2 linked regions of the Caenorhabditis elegans genome follow. The protein of the gene in region 2 purifies or fractionates together with the protein of the main gene of each other region. This does not show direct contact. Each region holds a gene or a part of one and is shown on either strand. Other genes may lie near its edges.

Region 1 (3,755 bases), 9.5 Mb from region 2:
TACAATTTTGTCGTCTCTGGCAGTTTACCGACTTGCCCATTTACCGAAAATTTTAATTCCGGCAAATTGTCCATACTCTATTACTACCATAGGCCCTTATATAATCTTTTTCCGCCCACCCCTGTACTCTATTACCACCTAATCTGTTACTACAGTGGATTTTTTGAAACCAAAATTTCAGCTTTTGAATTTTATATTCGTAGTGAAAAGATATTCGTAGTGAAAAGTTGAAACCTGGAAAACATAGTTGCATAATTGCATCGTAATATGTAAAAATAGGTCTTCCATGGTAGATAGGCGCGGTTTCAGGGCCTGCCTGGAACCTGCCTGCCCTATGTGAACGAGTAGACTGTAGTTTTAAAAAACAAAAAAAGGTATTTGCCTAACAAAAAACATACTCAAATATTTGAATGTTTGCAACCAAACCTTTAAGCGCTATCAGTTTAGATTCCAGCGAACTGTAGTCAATTGCATTCAGTTGATCCATTGAGAAATCGTATTTGAACAAATCCAAAGTTAAATTCATTGATGGAATGGTTCCTTTTGTCAATTCTTGTTGTAGGTACATTGCATTGATCAATCGTGAGGCGAATTGTAATCGCTCAACGGCAGTTATCAAGTTGTCATCTGCAACTTTTATGAATGATTTTTTTAAAAAGTTATTTGTTGTCATTTTTCTTTTATTAATTATTACGTATATTATACGTATCATGCGAGTTTAGCTTTCCAACCCCCCGCGAACTCTTTTTACTTTTTTTTTTTTTAACTTTTGTCTTTTTTGTCCTTTCTTGGCTATTTTTTTTATGAGAATTGACCCGAATTTGACTTTTTTCGGATTTTTAGGAATTTCTAGGAATTTTTCTTTTTTGTCAAAGCGAGCTAACGCTCGCCACTGACGCCAAGCCTAACATAAGACTTAACCTAAGTCTTAGCCTAAGCCTTACAAGGAAAGTCTTTGAAGGGGCCTGTAGATTTGGGTTTCTCATGTTGATATTCCGATAGAAGAGTGTTAGTTTTGATCTCTCCAAAAAATTTAGCTGCCCAAGCCAAGTTTCAGCAAAGTAATGACATTTTGAAATTTCAGTTAAAAACACCATTGAAATACACTGTCTTACAGTGCTATCCACACAAATATCAGCTTGCGTGAACACCGAAAATGTGACGCCCACCACAATAGGCTGAAGACAGTGGATTTCAATGGTGTTTTTAACTGAAATTTCAAAATGTCATAACTTTGCTGAAACTTGACTTGGGCAGCTAAATTGTTTGGAGAGATCAAAACTAACACTCTTCTATCGGAATATCAACATGAGAACCCCAAATCTACGGGCCGCTTTAAAGACTTCCCTTGTTAGCCTAAGCCTATGCAAGACACGCAAAATATACATTAACATATATATACAACAAATACAACGTAAAAATTGTTTTTCTGTAATTCGACTGACAAACCTTTAGCTTCACGTTTGGAACGTGGATCTAATGACATCACATTAAAGAAACTGGATTCTTCTGGAACAAAATATATTGAAATTAAAGCTCTGAAACAGTCAAGAAACCTTCGAAAGTATCCGAATTGACAACACGATTAACCGTTATAATTATCAAAACGATTATTATTTTGATTCCTGGAAGACAGAAGAAATTCGGAACGAAAATAAAAATCAACCTACTCATTGCAAAGTATTATGAAACTTCCCTTTGATCGACGGTTTTTGAATCAATTAATGATTGGAAGTGTGAATTCTGAGAGAAGGAGTGTTGGAATTTTTATTTATTTTATAACGAAAAGGTCACGGTTTCTGTAATTTTAATTTCTATGAAAGTTTTAGGGACTCACAGAATGTCAAACACTAGATGGCCGAAGAAAATTTGACATAAGCAGCGAAATTTGACCTTTCAAAAAAAAATTAATATTACGTGAAATCTTTTTTTTTCCAATGGAATTGAATTTTTGGCTGATACATGAGGGAATGTGTTTCAAGCTGTAATTTCAGTAAAACTGTACAAGAAAAAACGTTCAATATTTTTACCTTTGCTTATAACTCCTCTACAAAATTTTTTCGGACAAAAAAATAAAACAAGCATGGAGATTACAGGTGAATTTCGAATCCTCATCTTCATTTTTCAGACTGAAAATCCAAGAAAAGTAGCCCGAACTTTTTTCTGAAAAAGTTCCTATATACTCATCAAACATTCATAAACAGTATTTAAACAAAAAATCCCGAGATAACACTTTTGTCTTCAAGATATTCAGGTTGAAAACTAATGTCCTGAAACTTGGATTTTGGGTCCTTAAGAAGATAAAACAGATAATTAGCTTTTACGTTAATACCCGCAATCATTTGCAAATTAGAGCAAAATTAAATTGAAACTTTTTTTTGGATTTAAACATTTTTTGGAGCCGAAATACAAGTTTCAGGACACTAGTTTTCAACCTGAATATCTTGAAGACAAAAGTGTTATCTTGGGATTTTTTGTTTAAATACTGTTTATGAATGTTTGATGAGTATTTAGGAACTTTTTCAGAAAAAAGTTCGGGCTACTTTTCTCGGAATTTCAGTCTGAAAATGTATGATTTTTTAATTCAAAATTTGAGGGAATGTCGTTCATTGTGGCTCGAGGTCAATGGATAAATGGCTAAGACTAAAACATCATTGATCGAAGAATGATTTTTTATTCATAAAAACTATATATTTGACCTGAAATCATTGTTTTTTGTCACTATAACCCATTGGAATGAGCTGTAGAAATTAATTAAATTTAGAAATGATTTTACCGATACGTGGCAATGTTTAATACATTAGTTTTCTGGCCGAAGATTTGTATGTTTTCCCGAGAAAGTGAAGCGACAGCTTAAAAGCGCATCGCCTTTAGTGAGAGGCAGGTCTCGACGCGACGACATCTTTCCTCGCGCGCAGCGGCGAGATTTCGTCATTCTACGTGTTGGTAAAGAAAAAGGACGTGATTTTATCGATTTGCATCGATTTTTTTTGGATTTTTCTTTGTTTTTATTGTATTTTTATCGAATTTTTAGTAGTTTTAAGGTTTTTTATCGATTTTCCTTGATTCCGTTGCGTTTTTAAGCGTTTTTCTCGTTCGTAATGATAAAAAGGGGGTTATTTCTCCGTTTTCCAAGAGTTATCTGCGCGTATGCCAGATTTTGCAGGAGGAATCATCAAAATTCTCAGTTTTTGGCATGTAATCCTTACGAAGAGTACTTTCTGAGGCTCAATGGCTTTTTCCCCCGCTGTTAGGTGCTTCAGTAAGTGTTCTACTCCTTTCAGGGGTTCCTTCTCTCGTCTAGGAGATTAAATATGTTCGCATTTGTTTCTTCCCTCTCTCTTACGCGCTCTTTCCAGCATTGTTAGTTTATCCACGCTCTTTTCCTCTGTAATTTTTCGTTTATCACTTTCTCTAATTTTTCGGTTTCCGGTTCGTGCACTCGCGCACCCTCTCCCTATTTTACTCTATCTCTCACTATCTCTCACATCTATCTCTATCTCTCACAAGCTATTTTGGTATTTTGCGCGTTAAGAAGTCATGTTTTGATGGACCGTGTCCAAAGGAAGAATATTTTCGTCGAGTGAAAGGTATGTAACTTCGTGTGAAGTCGACTCCATGAGTCTTGTGAATATTCCGATAACGTTTTATCGAGATGTATTATCGGGCGGCCCGAATTTTATGTATGTTTTTCATTGTGGTTACCATGTAACGGGAGTTCACATCGCAGAAAGAGCAATTCTTTATCGCGAAAG
Region 2 (3,755 bases):
TGTGCCATAATAGTCAGTACGCAAAACATTCCTTTCTCCATTTTTTTGGTGAATTTTGGAATATAAACAAGAGCTGGGAAAACATCACAGTTTTCCGTCGAGACTTGTAGTTTGCGGTCGACGCACTCTTCGATTGATTCGTTGACGATCAAAAACTTTCCTTTTCTCATGGGTTTACCTGAAAAGTGGCTAAAACGAAAGTAAAAAGAAAGAAATCAAGCGAGTTGCTTTGGAAAAAAAGTAAAAAACATTCGAATTTTTAAGGCACACGGAGATGTAGAGCAAGCGGGTCTCGCCACGACAAAAATTTATACGGTATTTGCCTTCAAATTTGTTTTATATTTCTGCTTGCCCTTTTTTCTTTTCCGCTTTCTTTCTGGTTTTTCATTGCAAGTTTCAGATTTTAAACGTGTTTTTTTTCATTGAGAAAAGTTTAGATTTTAAAAATAAGTTGCACATATCTTTCTGTTATTTCATTGGTCTCTAGCAACATATTTATAGCTTCCATCACAAATTAATTTGCAAATTTCGATGTTTCGATTCTTAAGTACTTTAATTTTAACTTTTTTTACGCGATGCGATTCAATACTTTTTATTTAACTATTAAGAACCAATTATTCCAATAAATACGAAACGAAAAATACAAATGCAAAATATTAATCAATTCTAGATAATTTGTTGAACTTCAAACTTGTACAAATCCCTCTGCTGTCATTTGTGCTATAAGCGCATCATTTCTTCGTTTCTCGTATCTTGCCATGTAGATGTAATGCATTGCTCGACGAGTCCAAATAAGACGTAATCCGCACCCTAGAAATTATATTCAATGCGTTTGTCTTTTCTAATCAGTTTTAAGGTTCCAAATAATCAAATTAAACTAACAAAAGACCAAAGCATATCCGGCAATGATAATCCAAAGGCGGCCTGTTTCAGTGATTCCTGGAAAAGCGGTTGGAATGAGGGATCTCTCAGCTGTAATAATCAAGATTTTATGAAGTTCATAGGATTGATTTTTGCTTACGTTTGAAAGTCTCAAATCCACAAAAAACTAGAAGAATAATGATCTCGAAAGCTCCGGCATAGGCCACAACGAGAAATCCGACAAATAAACTGTAAGATTCCAAGGCCATAAAGAAGAGTTGAAGACCAAGCTGTTAACCAGAAAAATATAATTACTTATGTTTATAAATATCGCTCACTTGGGCAAAAAAATAGTAGTTTTGAGAGAAAATGAGGAACAGGAAGCTGACAATCAGTTCAGCGATTCCCAAAATGATAGCGATTCCCTGAAAAGTTTTGAGTTATTTCATATCGAGCGAAAGCTCTACTAAAAATACTTACTGTAATTGTTGGATCTCCATCATCCTCGGGGAGTCTGTTCAAAGATTGTATGGTTCTATTTCTTCTCGTTCTCTTAGGAAAAATTGTTTGCGACGGCATTTTGTGAGAAGAAAACTTTGAAATCTATGTGTTCAGAGTGAACAAAGGAACATTGAGGGGAGATAGGCGGAGCTTTGTGCCTGTAGAATGTTCTATGCAGCAACAACAAATATCAATTTGAAATCATATCACGAGATGGATGTAAAAATGAATTTGATCAAATGTGTCACTTCCACGATTTTTACAAAATTCATAATGGTATGCAATTTCTCTGGGAATATTGAAGTGCCTTGTTGGAACTGATTCTTGATCAGAATGAGAATATTTTCAGAACAATGTTTGATCGAATTACAGTTTTACTTACTATTAAATAATTCTGAGATGTGACAACAATACTGTACATTTCTGAGATACGAGAATGAAACCACTAGAATTTACAGATGCCCGTCGTCTAATTTTCTCACTCAGTTGTTCTATATCAATTTAATTCTAGACATTCGGTAGTGTTTTCCTTCAATATTTACTTTTTCTTTCATTTCGAATAACAGCCTACATTTGACCACAAACAATGATGCAAAAATGCGCCCCGCTGAAACTTTCAAGCGCGCGAAAATAGTAATTTGAAATTGAATACGAGCGCGCCAAACTCTGATTTTTCTTTGCGTTGTTCTGAAGTTCAATTGATGTCCTTCTCTCATTTTCTCTTCAAACCTCGATTATATCTCCCAACTTTTACTTTTTTGAGGAAGATGACTCTTACCGTTGCTGCTCCCTGCGTCCAAACCGTCACCGAGCCATCAAAAATGGAAATGCAAGCTGAATCAACGTCTCATATAACAATTCGATTCACCGAGATGGTTGGTGATGCTCAAAAGCCAACGTATGGTTCAATTTCATCTGCCGGAGCCGATTTGTACAGCGCTGAAGATGTGGTTGTTCCGGCTAATGGAAAACTGTGTGTTTCAACAGGACTTCAAATTGAACTTCCAATTGGATACTACGGAAGAGTTGCGCCACGATCGGGTCTTGCTGCCAAACACTTCATTGATGTTGGGGCTGGCGTTATCGACAGTGATTATCGCGGTGAAGTCAAAGTTCTACTCTTCAATTTCAACACCACAGCTTTTGAGGTGTCATTCTAATTTGAGAATTCATAGTAATATTTTAATATTTAAGGTGAAAACGGGCGATCGAATTGCTAAATTGATTTGTGAGCAGATTGGAAACGGAACATACGAAGAGGTTAAGAGTTTGCCATCCACGAATCGTGGAGCTGGTGGATTCGGCTCAACTGGAGAGTAAGCAATATTAATTTTCAATTTTCCTCAAACCTGTTAATTTCAGATCTACAATGAACTCCGAAACGGCTAACCCCGCAACAAATTTGGAACGAATTACTGTTCGCTTCACTCAGCTCAACGAGAATGCTCAAACACCGACATATGGGTCTGAAGAAGCAGCTGGAGCCGACTTGTACAGCGCTGAAGACATAACTGTTCCAGCACATGGTAAATGTTGTGTTTCGACAGGAATCCAAATGGAATTGCCATTCGGATACTATGGAAGAGTTGCTCCTCGATCTGGACTTGCTGCCAAACACTTCATCGATGTTGGAGCTGGTGTCATTGATAGTGATTACCGTGGCGAGGTCAAGGTTCTCCTTTTCAACTTCACTGACAATGCCTTTGAGGTGACATTATATTTTTGTCATTCAAAATAATCTTTATTTTATTCTTCAGGTCAAAAAAGGAGATCGAATCGCTCAGTTGATTTGTGAGAAGATCGGTCACTGTGTCTACGAAGCCGCAAGTGAATTGGAGAATACAGACCGTGGAGCTGGTGGCTTTGGATCGACTGGACAGTTCGTTTAAATTTTCGCCTTTGAATACTCATATTTATCTTTTCAGAAATACGATGGAAGCGGAACCAGCTTTGAAAAAATCTAAAACTGAACAAATTAAAACCTCTGCCACATCGGTAACAATCCAAATCACAAAGAGCAACGATAACGCTCAGATGCCAACGTATGGATCAGCCGAAGCTGCTGGAGCTGATTTGTACAGCGCTGAAGATGTCACAGTTCCAGCCCGTGGGAAGTTGTGTGTCTCGACGGGAATTCAAATGGCATTGCCAATCGGATACTATGGAAGAGTTGCTCCTCGATCTGGACTGGCTGCCAAGCATTTCATCGATGTTGGAGCAGGTGTCATCGATAGCGACTATCGTGGAGAGGTCAAAGTTCTTCTTTTCAATTTCGGCGAAAATGACTTTGAGGTATCGGAAACTGTAAAAAACAATTTCGATAATTGTATGATTTCTTTGCAGGTCAAGAAAGGAGATCGAATTGCACAGCTGGTCTGCGAACAAATTGCACT

The links. The genes of interacting proteins can lie anywhere in the genome.
Region 1: the proteins of dut-1 (region 2) and Y48G1C.5 fractionate together in Caenorhabditis elegans (co-fractionation; one large-scale study listed by BioGRID). This does not show direct contact.

The regions. Positions count from the first base shown.
Region 1 is NC_003279.8:62,348-66,102, forward strand, and holds the start of Y48G1C.5 (Tyrosine-protein phosphatase domain-containing protein), read right to left. Parts: upstream 1,720-3,755; 5' UTR 1,675-1,719; coding exon 1,671-1,674; intron 1,626-1,670; coding exon 1,557-1,625; intron 1,510-1,556; coding exon 1,450-1,509; intron 628-1,449; coding exon 427-627; intron 1-426.
Region 2 is NC_003279.8:9,583,292-9,587,046, forward strand, and holds the start of dut-1 (dUTP diphosphatase), read left to right. Parts: upstream 1-2,125; 5' UTR 2,126-2,129; coding exon 2,130-2,510; intron 2,511-2,556; coding exon 2,557-2,678; intron 2,679-2,724; coding exon 2,725-3,070; intron 3,071-3,119; coding exon 3,120-3,241; intron 3,242-3,287; coding exon 3,288-3,654; intron 3,655-3,705; coding exon 3,706-3,755. Other genes in the region: K07A1.1 (uncharacterized protein), read right to left, coding at 1-170; K07A1.13 (uncharacterized protein), read right to left, coding at 686-810, 883-972, 1,022-1,151, 1,200-1,286, 1,342-1,440.